3 linked regions of the Macaca mulatta genome follow. The protein of the gene in region 3 binds, or shares a complex with, the protein of the main gene of each other region. Links are inferred from orthologs where the notes say so. Each region holds a gene or a part of one and is shown on either strand. Other genes may lie near its edges.

What was found. The genes of interacting proteins can lie anywhere in the genome.
Region 1: MED8 (region 3) and MED18 share a complex: the UniProt entries of both Homo sapiens proteins name them as parts of the mediator complex. The link is inferred for Macaca mulatta from reciprocal best matches to the Homo sapiens genes MED8 and MED18.
Region 2: MED8 (region 3) and MED23 share a complex: the UniProt entries of both Homo sapiens proteins name them as parts of the mediator complex. The link is inferred for Macaca mulatta from reciprocal best matches to the Homo sapiens genes MED8 and MED23.

Annotation. Positions count from the first base shown.
Region 1 is NC_133406.1:212,596,868-212,602,013, forward strand, and holds the end of MED18 (mediator of RNA polymerase II transcription subunit 18), read right to left. Parts: intron 2,514-5,146; coding exon 1,960-2,513; 3' UTR 1,224-1,959; coding exon of another isoform or gene 1,208-1,223; 3' UTR 963-1,207; downstream 1-962. UniProt on the Homo sapiens protein: Component of the Mediator complex, a coactivator involved in the regulated transcription of nearly all RNA polymerase II-dependent genes.
Region 2 is NC_133409.1:36,639,211-36,643,711, reverse strand, and holds part of MED23 (mediator of RNA polymerase II transcription subunit 23), read left to right. Parts: intron 1-882; coding exon 883-1,128; intron 1,129-2,047; coding exon 2,048-2,190; intron 2,191-3,169; coding exon 3,170-3,344; intron 3,345-4,002; coding exon 4,003-4,166; intron 4,167-4,501. UniProt on the Homo sapiens protein: Required for transcriptional activation subsequent to the assembly of the pre-initiation complex. Component of the Mediator complex, a coactivator involved in the regulated transcription of nearly all RNA polymerase II-dependent genes.
Region 3 is NC_133406.1:196,876,004-196,880,231, reverse strand, and holds the start of MED8 (mediator of RNA polymerase II transcription subunit 8), read right to left. Parts: upstream 2,801-4,228; 5' UTR 2,797-2,800; intron 1-2,796. UniProt on the Homo sapiens protein: Component of the Mediator complex, a coactivator involved in the regulated transcription of nearly all RNA polymerase II-dependent genes.

The DNA of each region.
Region 1 (5,146 bases), about 16 Mb from region 3:
TGCAGTGAGCTGAGATCCGGCCACTGCACTCCAGCCTGGGTGACAGAGCGAGACTCCGTCTCAAAAAAAAAAAAAAAAAAAAAAAAAAAATAGAAAATTAGGCCAGGCACAGTGGCTCATGCCTATAATCCCAGCACTTTGGGAGGCCGACGCAGGCGGATCATGAGGTCAGGAGATCGAGACCATCCTGGTTAACACAGTGAAACCCCGTCTCTACTAAAAATACAAAAAATTAGCTGGGTGTGGTGGCAGGCACCTGTGGTCCTAGCTACTCAGGAGGCTGAGGCAGGAGAATGGCATGAACCCGGGAGGTGGAGCTTGCAGTGAGTCGAGATTGTGCCACTGCACTCCAGCCTGGGTGACAGAGCAAGAGTCTGTCTCAAAAAAAAAAAGAAAAAAAAAAATTAGCCAGGCGTGGTGGTGCATGCCTGTAATCCCAGCTACTTGGGAAGCTGAGGCAGTAGAATCACTTGAACGTGGGAGGTGGAGGTTGCAGTGAGCTGAGATCATGGCAGTACTACACTTGAGCCTGGGCAACAAGAGCGAAACTCTTGTCTCAAAAAAACAAAAAAAAATTTAACAAAAGGAGATTGTAGACAAATATCTTGGAAAGATGTTAATGATAGATGAATAGGAAAAAAGGGTTATAAAGCAGTATATATGGAATCTTCTCTATAAAATAAACACATTTCATATACATAAATTTATAAAAAGTAAAGACTAGAAGGATAAATACCAAAATAGAACTAGTACTCTCTTTGGATAATAGGTGTTATTTTTTATCTGTACCGTATTTTATAAGTTTTCAACAATAAATGTGCTACTTTTATGACAGGTGAAAACTCTCATCCTCATCTCTACCATAATTAAAACTAGGAACTGTCATTTTTTTGCTTCAACTGGTAATGAATCCACCCCAAATTTACAGGGTAAAGGAATAAAGAATCAGAATTACACAGACATTTCTCTTCATTGGCTTTATTACCATATAACACAAGCTCACAGCCTCTAATGTTACAAACCTTATACACAAATGGCCAAACAAGAAATTTTCCTTTCCAAAAGCTAATTTATTCCGGTTTCCCCTCTTTATTTTTATTTTTATTTTTGAGACAGAGTTTTGCTCTTCTCACCCAGGCTGGAGTGCAATAGTGTCATCTCTGGTCACTGCAACCTTCACCTCCTGGATTCAAGCAATTCTCCAGCCTCAGCCTCCTAAGTAGCTGGGATTACAGGCGCCCGCCACCATGCCCGGCTAAATTTTGTATTTTTCGTAGAGATGGGGTTTCACCATGTTGGCCAGGTTGGTCTCAAACTCCCGACCTCGGGTGATCCACCCACCCCGGCCTCCCAAAGCGCTGGGATTAGAGGTGTGAGCCACCGCGCTTGGCCTGGTTTCCCCTTTTAATAATACAGTGGGATTAGATAGATTCTCCGTGACATCCTGAGCCTTTAATGTAGAAAGGCTGTCATGAAAGTGAAATCACCACATAAGAACAGTGCAAAGAACCAATTAATTCTCACCATCCTCTCCCTGAAGGAAGAATGCCTGCCTGGCAATGGTGAAATGGGGCATTTAAAACATATTTTTTTGGCCGGGCATGGTGGCTCATGCCTGTAATCCCAGCACTTTGGGAGGCCAAGGTGGGTGGATCACAAGGTCAGGAGTTTGAGAATAGCCTGACCCACATGGTGAATCCCCATCTCTACTAAAAATACAAAAATTAGCTGAGCATGGTGGTGGGTGCCTGTAATCCCAGCTACTCAGGAGGCTGAGGCAGAACTGCTTGAACCCGGGAGGCAGAGGTTGCAGTGAGTCAAGATCGTGTCACTGCACTCCAGCCTGGGAAACAGAGCGAGACTCTGTCTCAAAAACAAAATAAAACAAAAACCAAAAAAAAAGCAAACATTTTTTCAAGCAAGTAAGGACAGGCCCCAAATGTGGACAGATCCTCTTAGTCACATGAGCCTCTTGGGGTCTATTTTCTCTAGGTGAACCAGAGGTTTTAGCTGCTCTGCAAAGTTCTTCATGTCATCAGAGACCACATCCTGCCCAGCGGGTGCTACCACACTTAATTCCACGAGATAGGAGAGTGACAAGGCCTCAGTGCTGTCTGTGTTCCCTGGCACCAGGATGCGGAAAATCTTGTACACCATAATCTTCATGATGCCCTTACGGAACAAATGTCCCTTAGCAACAAACTCATGGTCCATGCGGAAGCCCATTTCCATCAAGAAGTCGGTGAGGTTCTCAGATGTGGCAATGTCCACGCAGTTTCGCACCAGGGCGTGGCGATTCTTGTCTCCCATTTCTGGCTGTCCCAGGTAGCGCAGATGCCAGGGTGCTCCTGCCCTGTCCATAGAGCGTCGGGCCCTGAGAACAAATGGGCTGGCTTGCTGGCCCTTAAGAAGGAATACCATCTCATGGTCAAGGAAAGTCTCAGGTTCCATGTTGTCACACAAACCACGAAGGCGGTGGATGAGGCTTTCCAAACTGTGATCTAAAACACTTCCTGAAAACGGAACAAGCACCACTGAGTCCTATCTTTCATTTTAGGTCATGGAGTTAGCATACAATTGAAAAAACTTAATGAAAAACCAAAACAGTTTAGTGAAGCATTTCATAAAACATAGGGCCAAACATGAGATTTTAGAGAAGTTGCACTACCAAGGTATTGTATAACGTTGTGAGAAAGTTATTTCCCTTTTCAATTTTTTGGAATTTTCTTATTTAACACTACAATGTCTTTAGGCCTCCTCTAATGCTAATCTCCAGCAGGCCTTGGGCTTAGAGCCTTTAATCAGCAACAGGGTCTATCTAGAATGTAATAATACTGTTTTAATTATGTATTTATTTATTTTGGTAGAGATGGGGTCTTACTATGTTGCCCAGGTTGGTCTTGAACTCCTGGCCTTGGTCTCCCAAAGTGTTGGGATTACAGGCACAAGCCACCATGCCCAGCCAATAACACTATTTTGTTGTCATATAGTTTAACAATTGCCTTCTATTTCCAACAAATCAAACTTTTCCATTTATAGAAATATAAAGTTTCACCCCCTTTTTCTGAGACGGAGTCTAGCTGTGTCTCCAGGCTGGAGTGCAGTGCTGCGATCTCAGCTCACTGCAACCCCCGCCTCCTGGGTTCAAGCGATTCTCCTGCCTCAGCCTCCTGAGTAGCTGGACTACAGGTGTGCGCCACCATGCCCAGCTAATTTTTGGATTTTTAGTAGAGACAGGGTTTCACCACATTGGCCAGGATGGTCTTGATCTCTTGACCTCATGATCCGCCCTTCTCAGCCTCTCAAAGTGCTGAGATGACAGGCGTGGAGCCACCGCACCCAGCTAAAGTTTCCTTTTTATCAGGAAAAGTTTTCCTCTTCTATATGTAAGTAGAAGAGAGTGAATTGCTTCATAGAATCTTCATCCTCTTGGCAACATCTGACACAGTTGTTATAGTAGCTTATACCCACTATGAAATCTATTCTTCCCTTGGCCTCTGAGACACAACTTTCTTGGTTCTTCACTTAACTTGCTGAACAGCCCGTTTAAGTCTTCTTTGCTTGGTCTCTCTCAACTTCCCTAAACACTGGAGGACTAGGACTCAATGCTGGTCCTCTTCTGTATCAATACTCTTTTCCTGCCTAGGTGACTTTATTTGGTCCCATGGCTTTAAATATCATTTAGGCCCTGAGGACTCCCACATTTTTATCTCTGGACCACAGAAGAAAACATCCAACTGACTACTCAATTTCCTCACTTGGATGCCTAACAGACATCTTTATCTTAACACGTTCAATATCAAACTGTTGATTTTTTCCTCCAAAATCTTATTCATCCTGCAGTCTTAACCATCACAGTAAATGGCAACTCTCTGCTTCTAGTTGGTTACCCGGGCCAAAAACCGGAAAATCATCTTTCACTTCTTTCTTTCTCCCACACCCTCCATTTAATCCGTATTTTTGAAACAAATGCAGAATGCAATCACTTCTCGCTCCTCTGGTCACTTCAACCTATAGTCCCTTCAAATGAAGTCACCCTCATTTCTTGCCTGGTCTTTGCAAATAGCCTGTTTCTACCTTTGCCTTCTTCCTCTCTTCTCCACACAAAAGCCAAATGATCTATTATATTATTGGGCAGATAATAACACTCCTCTACTCAGAACACTCCAGTGGCTTCCTGTGTCACTCAGAATAAAAGCCAACGTCTAACACTTCTCTACTCAGAACACTCCAGTGGCTTCCTGTGTCACTCAGAATAAAAGCCAACGTCTTTACCATTGTTGACAAAGCCCTACATATTATGGTCTCTGCTACCTGCCAAACAACATCTCCTTCTATTCTTCCCCTTGATCATTATCTTCAGGAGTGACCTTCCTGCCAGACCCCTTCCCCTATTCTCTATGCTTAGGATGTTCTTCCGATCTGCATGTCTACTCTATCACTTTTATCAGGTCTGCTCAAGTGACTTTATCATCAGGGCCTTTTCTGATCACCCTAATAAAATAGTATGTGTCCTACCAATCTCTAGCCACTTTCCTGCTTTATTTTTATGGCATAGATTTGTTGTTGTTGTTGTTGTTGTTTAGATAGGGTCTCACTCTGTCTCCAGGCTATAGAGCAGTGGCGAGATTATAACTCTTTGCAGCCCCCATCTTGGGGGTTCAAGTGATCCTCCCACCTCAGCCTCCCAAGTAGTTCGGACTACAGGTACATACCACCATGCCCAGCTAAGTTTTCTTTATTTTTAGTAGAGGTGAGTTCTTGCTATGTTGTCCAGACTGATCCTGAATTCCTGAACTCAAGCAATACTGCAGCCTTAGCCTCCCAAACGACTGGAATTACAGTCATAAGCCTGTAATAGCTGGCTTGACATACATTATTTTTTAGTCATCTTTCTCCCTCCATGGCTATGGCTCAAATGTTTGGAACATATTCAGATACTTGTTGACAAAATCTGGCCTGGCGCAGTGGCTCACGCCTGTAATCCCAGCACTTTGGGAGACCAAGGCAGGTGGATCACCTGAGGTCAGGAGTTCAAGACCAGCCTGGCCAACGTGGAGAAACCCCGTCTCTACTAAAAATACAAACATTAGCTAGCCATGGTGGTTCACGCCTGTAACCCCGCTACTTAGGAGGCTGAGGCAGG
Region 2 (4,501 bases), on a different chromosome or scaffold from region 3:
TATAGGTAAGGGCAAATACTTGAGGTACATGTCATAGCAAGAGAATCTGACCAGCACCTATATCAGGAAACAGCTACAAGATTAGTCTTGCTTTTATGTATAGATTTTTACAAAAAATTTTTCAAGGCTGATCTTCAGTTGAATATGTTATAAAGTTATTAATATAATGAAAGCATATCAAGTTTCATAAATGTAAAAATGTTTCAGAATTTCTCAAGTGCTTGGAACTTGAGCATGAGCTGACTGAGATATTCATCTGTGGGCTGCCAGGAATGATTGAGCTGATCTGGCTGGCATGCCCCTTAATATCTCTTCCAAAGTTGTGATGACTCAAAGAAGATACCATTCTTAGATAGTATTGTATTGTATTGTAGTCAAGGGTGCTAGGAATAGCCTAACTTCCCACCTAGAACTTCTGAAAAAGACTGTCACATCTCTTCATAGGATATGGCAGGGGAGTCAGACTTGATATTTCATTTGGTTTTCATTTTATGAGATACCCCTTAACCACCTTTTCAAAGTGATATCTGTAATGAAGACATTGTTGTGTTTATACAGACAGATAATAAGTAGAAACCTGGTTCACAGACTTGTGAGTTATTTCTTCGGTCTCTGAAACTTAGCCTAATATGGTGGCTGTATATGTAGTGCATACTTAACAGATACCCATTAATTGTTTATTTAAAATTATTTTTCTTCTGAAACACTACCTCAACTTCTATGTGTATTCCCACTATACGTTTCACACAGAAACTCGAATACGTATAGGAACAAAGATAGCATTAATAAATAATTGCATAAAATTGAACTTTTAAAAAAATACAAATTAACATTATGGAAGTAATTTTCGTTTTTTCTTTTTAATGGAACATGAATTTTTAGGTTCCTGCAGCAGAGTCTGAGAAATAAAAGTTTACAGATGAATGACTATAAGATTGCTCTATTGTGTAATGCATACTCTACAAATTCAGAATGTTTTACATTACCCATGGGAGCTCTGGTAGAAACTATTTATGGAAATGGAATTATGAGGATACCTCTCCCTGGAACAAACTGTATGGCTTCAGGATCTATTACCCCCTTACCCATGAACCTCCTGGATTCACTGACAGTTCATGCCAAAATGAGGTATGTTCTTTTTATTAATTTGATTCCATGTCAGGGAATTGATACGAGTATAGTATAAACCTTTATTTCATGGTTTTATGTGTGTAATTTTTCATAGTCAGGTACATTTAGGGAAAAAAATAGCTTTATTTTATTACAAAAGTAAATATTTTTTATTATAGGAATTCTAGGATAAACAAACCCAAAGAAAGTAATTGTCATAATCTCTCCATGAGAGATAAGCATTATAAAAATTTTTTGCACTTTTTTTTTTTTCGTTTTTTGTAGATAGTAAGAAGGAGGACTAGTGTAGCTAGAGCTTCCAACGTTTTTGAGAAGGGCTAGAAATCCAGATTTTTTATTACTAGTCTTTCAGCCTTTAAGTATTGGCTCAAATTTAAAACAACCACCGTATAGGCCTAAGAGAATTTGTCTGTGGGCCTCCAAGTGGAGCATCAGTTCTGGTAGAGCTATGCTCTTTTTCAAGTGGTAACCATTGTGATAGAATTACACATGTGCTTCACTTGCATGTATAACAGATTTGAGCAAAGCCTCATTAGAACCTAACATTTGGGTCTTAGCTATGATGTGTTAAAGTAAATCTGTGACAGAAGTTATTTAATTTCCCAAATGTATTTTGATGCATCATTGGAGTAACCAAAATCTCTCAAGCTTGCTCTTATAAGTTGAACCCAAAGTTTGTTTTCCCATGAGCAGGGGGATCCGTGTGCATATTGAAAGCACCATGGAAATCGGAATGAGTCTCAGGTTGTGCAGTGCATCCTTACCAAGTGTCCTGCACAATTTAGACACATTAAATGAATCAACTTCATTTGAATCATTTAAGTTCAAATTATACTAAGTTACTTCTAAGTAGAGTAGCGCCTATGTTTATGTCAAAAATATGGATTTTTATTTTCTTCCCTTTTTTTCTCCTCAGCCTTATTCACAGCATTGCAACCAGGGTGATAAAACTTGCTCATGCAAAGTCCAGTGTGGCCTTGGCTCCAGCCCTAGTGGAAACTTACAGTCGTTTATTGGTCTATATGGAAATAGAGTCTTTGGGCATCAAAGGATTTATCAGTAAGACAGGACTTTCTGGTGTTTATAACTATTAATCCATTCATTAACTCTAAAGGTACTTTTCTAGTTCCGGGGACACAGCAGAGAACAAGTCACCACCATGATGGAGCTTATGGAGGGGGACGTTAAATAAATGAAATATATAATATGTCAGGTGATACATGTTATAGAGAAAAATAAAGCAAAAAGGAATAGGAAGTTTGAGGGTGGGAGGGGGGGTTTGTTGCATTTTTAGGTAAAGTGGTAAGAAAAGGTTAATGTGCTAGGTGCCTGGGATGTGGTGAGCAGGATAGACATGGTCCCTGTCCTCATGCAAATGGATTCTGCCTGAGGCAGTAATGCTGTCCTCCAGTGCATACAAAAGGCTGACTGGCAGTAAAGAAGGAATTCTCTTAGATTGCAGAAAATACATTATAATGTCTGTTATTTATTATGTAGTTCTAAAATAATAGATACTTTCTAATATAGAAGTGTTTTTCTGATTCATCATAATTCCAGCTTTTCATGAATACAGCATAGTTTTAATTTTAACCATAGTAAGTCTTCCTAGATAACTGATTGTTGAATAAAACTTTCTCGGGGGTAGGAGGAAACAAGGGCAGGTGTAAAAATACAGTTTTTTGTATTAAAAAGTGAACCTCATACTTCAAAAGGTATGGAACATTAACTGTCTAAAAATAAAAGATACCAGAATTGAGAAGATTAATGCTTTTTCGTATCTTGTCTCATTTTGTTTTTCCAGATAAACATGATTATCACTTGCCAAGTCCCAGGAAAAAATAATTGATATTATAGTTAGGATCTGAATTTTTCCTTACTGTTAAAGTAGAAAATAAGAAAATGTGGAGAATATATATGTGTGTGCGTGTGTATTTTCGCAATCAAATCTTTATTTGATTCACTCAATGTGACTTTCTTCAACTATCTTTTAATGCATAGCCTTTACTAATTGGTACCTTAAATTGTCTTTTTCCTCCAGGTCAGCTTTTGCCAACTGTTTTCAAATCACATGCATGGGGGATCTTACATACACTCCTTGAGATGTTTAGCTACCGGATGCATCATATTCAGCCTCATTACCGAGTTCAGCTCCTGAGTCATCTTCATACTTTGGCTGCAGTTGCACAAACAAACCAGAACCAGCTCCATCTTTGGTGAGCTCATTGAAGGCCATCTTTCCTTAAGATTTACTAGAAACTTTCTTGGAGATGAGGTTCTTAATCCTTTGCCTTATAGGTTTTTTTTTTTTTTTTTTAATTCATCTGTCATAAAACTTCTCTGCTTCTAAAGTATTTTGTTTCCATTATAGGAGCAGAGTCCAGCTTTTTAAATAGAAACTGATTAAGATAGTTGAGTTCTTGCTTCAGGATCTTTGGACTGAGAATTAGTACTTTCAGGGTATTTATTATTATGTTGTAACTTAGCCCTTTAGAATGCTGTTTTTAAGTATACTTCAGATTATGGTTAAAGTATCATGTCACATTGATTTTGCTTTAAATTAAAATATATTTTAGATAGAAAAATATAATTTTTGAAATGCAGTATCTCCAGGTGAAATTTTTTAGTCCTATAGGCGACAAGTCATCTTTTTCAAATGTGTAAAAATGTCAAGATTTTCACTATAAAATTGGACACATTAGGTTTTTTAAACAAATTAAGCAACATTTATTCTCACACACAAGTGTTTTTTTAATTAAAGAAGGGATAGTCATATAGATTGCATGTTTTTCCAGTGTAATTAACCTTAGAATTAGATTTAATTCTATAATTCTGAAATTTTTTTACATTTCTTTTTTTTCTCCCACTTTTCAGTGTCGAGAGCACTGCTCTCAGGCTTATAACAGCATTAGGTAGCTCAGAGGTACAACCGCAGTTTACACGCTTCCTTAGTGATCCCAAAACAGTGCTCTCAGCAGAATCTGAAGAACTGAACCGAGCCTTGATATTGACCTTGGCTAGAGCAACTCATGTTACAGGTACGGTGACTATGTGACTACAAACAAACAAAAACAGATGAATTAAAGTGTGCCGTGATTCTACTAATTACTATGGGTATAACATACTAAAAAGATACTTTTCATTTGTTCAAAAAAAGCCAGTTGTTTTGATATCTTCACTATTTCATTCATTTATGGAAGCTCTTTTGTGTAACATCATTCTATTAATAACTGGGTTGAGCATCAGTTTTCAGTTATCTTCCATAATTTTAAAGTAGTAATTCTTTAAGCTTTTTGGTCTCAAGACTGCTTTACACTCTTAAAATTGAAATTCCCAAAGAGTTTCTGTTTATATGGATTATATCTATGGATAT
Region 3 (4,228 bases):
AGCTAATTTGTTTGGTTTTTAACCACTGAATCTCTAATAACAAGAGTATGTTGCCAGTTCTTGATTTTTCTGTTTTGAGTATTACCTACTGACTTTCTTCAATGGAAGATGAATATTTAATACTCTGTCACACTCACCACTCCTCTACCATAGCCATGCAATCTATCCTCCAATTCTCCTAATATAGTTAGAGCAATATTGAATCTATATACCATGACCATAGAAACACTATTCATAGATACCATGATTACTAGTTTTTCACTGCATGTTTTGTTTTTCCTGAAGTCAGTAAAAGTCTTGCTTTTTACTTTCCTTAGTTTTTTGTGTATTTGTCACTAATTCAACCCTAAACTCTTCTCCAGTTGTATAAATCGTTCTCCATATATTCAGACATGTTAGATTGTCTGTCAGCTTCATTTTCTTGAAGAACTCTCTTTGGGAGCCTCTGCATGCTCTCCTTGGGTGGTTTGCTCTCTGTGTAGCCAAACATCTGTGGTCTTGAAGTCCCTGTCACCATCCTCTTGTGGTATATCTCATTTCCTGGGCCCCATATTTTTTTACTTCTTCATTTAATGGAACACATCTTGTACTAATTTCCTGAGAAAGGATACATGAGAAGTAATTTTTTGAGAACATACCTGAAAATGTCTTTATTCTGATTTCACACTTAATTGATAGTCTGGCTGCGTATGGAATTCTAGGTTGGAAATCATTTTTCCTCAGTATTTTGAGGGTACTGTCCCCATTGTATTCTAGGCTTTTGGTGTTCTGCTTGAGGAGTCTTAATGCTGTTCTGATTTTTAATTATTTATATAAAGTCTGTTTGTTGTTCTCTCTAGAAATTTGAAATTTCACGATAATGTACCTTGATGGAGAGCTATTTTCATACTGTGCTGGACACTCAGAGGACCCTTTTAAGCACAAAAAACTCAAAACCTTTAGTTCGGGGACAGCTTTATTGAGTTATTCTTTTCAGCATTTTCGCCTTTTCATTTTTTCCCCTTATTCTTTCTTTCTAGAACTCCCATATTCAGAAGTCATGTTTTCTGGACTTGTCCTTTAATCTTTTAAAAATATTTTCTTAATCGTTTTCCATCTCTATCTTTTTGTTCTATATTGTGAGAAATTTCCTTAACTTTTCCAATTCCTTTTCCAGCCCTTTTTATTTCTGCTATTATGTGTTTCATTTTCCAGGGTAACTTTTTTCTTTTTGTTCACCAAATATATTTTTTATGATATCCTCTACCTGTTTCATGAGTAAAATGTCTTCTCTCTGAGGAGTTTAATGATTTTTTTTTCCTGAGTTTTCATCCCCCTGAGTCTCTTCAGTTTTTCAATGTTGCATTTAGATTTCATTTGTTTTGGTCTCCTGTCTTTATATAAAATACTTTCCTCTAATGCCTCATGATCTTGGCTGCCTGCTCATGTTTAGAAACCGGGAATCTTGTTTTCAGTATCATCTTCATTCCCTCTACTAGTGGTACCTGATGCTGCCAGTGATTGAGTCTTTGGGGAGTTCTGTGATATATTTCACGTTCAGTTCAACTTTTCCCACTACCAGCACAGGATTCAGCTTTCCTGAGTTTGCTGACTTCCACTTGTCTACTTGGTTTCCAGTTTTGTGTCTCTTCTGTCTTTGTCCTGGGTGCTTCTGCTTTACAATGAACATGCAGTCGTTTCTGTCACTTGGGGAGATTTGAAAGGGGAGTAATCTAAATCAGGTCAGCAAACTCTGGTTCCTATGCCAGATCTATCCAAGAGCTTATTTTTGTGTGGTCTGGCTTAAAAATGATTTTTGTGTTTTTAGGCCAGGTGCAGTGGCTCATGCCTGTAATCCCAGCATTTTAGGAGACTTTGGGAGGCAGGCAGATCATTTGAGTCCAGGAATTTGAAACCAGCCTGGGCAACATGGTGAAACCCCCACTCTACTAAAAACACAAAAAATTAACCGGGCGTGGTGGCACACACCTGCAATCCCAGCTACTAGGGAGGCTGAGGCACGAGAATCACTTGAACCCAGGAGGCAGAGGTTGCAGTGAGCTGAGATCACGATGCTGCACTCCAGCCTGGGTGGCAGAGCAAGGCTGTCTCAAAAAAGAAAACAAAACAAACAAACAAACAAACAAATTTTTACATTTTTAAAGGGTTGCTGAGCAAAACAGAACAAAAGCACAGAAGGATATGTGACAGGCTATGGCCCACAACGCCTAACATATTTACTGTCCACTTACAGAGAAAGTCGTTCAGCCCCAATTGAAATCTCCTATTTCAAACTGGAAAACTAGTTCCTTCCCTCCCAATGCCCACAGCCAGTGATCACCTCCCATTTCATAGAGAAAACCAATCTACTGGACAATCTATTCCTTACTCTCCCATCCCTATACCAAACCACTGCGGTTTGCAGGTTACCCATAATACTTCATTAAGTCAAACTGCAATGAATGTCAGAGGTCATTGAAAACCTCCTTGTTAGTGAATTCAACCCCTATTTTTTCAGTCTGTATTTTACTGGCTGCTCTATGACATTTGATAACGTGTGGCTTCCATTCTCACGGAGTCAACTGAGCCTGCTCTTCCTGAGATTGCCAGTAGCATCCTAATTGCCAAACCCAGAGAATGCTTTCCACACCTTATCTTCTTCTTTCTTTTGCTACATTTAACATTATTACTGCCCATCTATTTCTGGAATATTTCTACTCCCTTATATTCTGTGATAGTATTTTCTCTTAGTCCTCACCATCCCACACCCGATCAGTTTCCCAATCCTGTCCGTTCTCCCTTTGAATTTCATCCCACCCCCCACAGCCTCATGTGAGACCCTCATCATCTGTCACCTGGCTTACCACAAAGCTCTCCTGCTAGGTCTTAGCCTCCTTGCGCTCTTTCACACTGCCACTAGAATGGTTTTTCTGAAGCAAAAATCTGTTGATATCATTGATTTTCTGAAAAATTTATAGTCTTTTTCTCTGCTCTGTCTGCTTCTACTCAATAAAATCCAAACTCCTAACTTGGTATTCAAAACCCCATCTGGTCTGCTTTTCTGCCTTATTTTCACTGTGTTTCTCCCTCTCTATATTCCTCCCCACTTATCAGTCCCCCTTTTACTTCAGCCACACTGTCATCAACAGTGATGATGCTGATGAGAAAAACACTAACAGCAGCATGTATTGAGGACGTAACTACATGCCAGGCACTGTGTTCACTGCTTAATGTTAATTTGGTCATCTAATCCTCGTGACATGGCCTTATGAGGTGGGTTCTATTAATGGTCCACCAATATGGCACATATGAACTTGAAACATCTTTAAACATTTTTTTTAAAAGGTAAGTGTCAGAATTCATTTGGCAGTAAAATCTGACCTGAAATGGTATGAATGTATTTATAGTTCCTTCTAGCGTAAAGATTCATTTCATAGAAGAAATATTAACATTTAATTACAGGATGCTGCCCCAAACCTCATAGGGGGATGTTAAATAATATATGGTTTGTGCAGTATACTGCTTTCCTAAAATCTGAACACTTTGAGATTCTAATACTATCTAGTTTGAGGGGGCTCAAATAAGAGATTTTGATCTTTGTATTACTCTTTTTACAGATGAGGAAATTAAGGCTCAGCAAGATTAAGTAGTTTGCCCAAAGTTACGTAGTGGAAAAAACAGCGGAGCCCGGATTAGCACCATGGTGGCCTGGTTCAAACGCATACCTTGTCTGCTGTGCTGCACAGGTCCATGCCACCTGCAGGTCCCTGCCCTCGACCTCTTCTGGGTTGCTGGCTTTCTGCTTTCCCTGTTCTTCCAGTGCTCAGCCCTGGCTGACTTCCCTTCCATTCCTATTCACCCAGGCTGGCTTCTTTCAGTAGCAGCCTCCATGCCTTTACCCCCTTGTCCTCCTGAAAATGTCCCACTGATACCAAGCTCTGACCAGGTCTGCCCATCTGTCTCTGATTGGGCGGTCTTTCATTTGAGACTCGATAGAAAGGCGAACCACACTCCTCTCCCAGTTTCAGACTGTGCCCTATTTAGTACTTGGCAATATTGCCTTTTCCATTTCCTTTATCAGCTTCCTTTCCTGTTTCTAGAGCAGCTGTACTAAAACTTTTCCTATACCCCTGAGCTCCAAAGCTTATCCATACCATCTTACTCTCAGTTTCAGCAGCACATGCCTAGTTCCATTTTCATTCCACCTGCTTGAGTCGTACACACAGGGGTTTGTAAGAACTGTCACCTT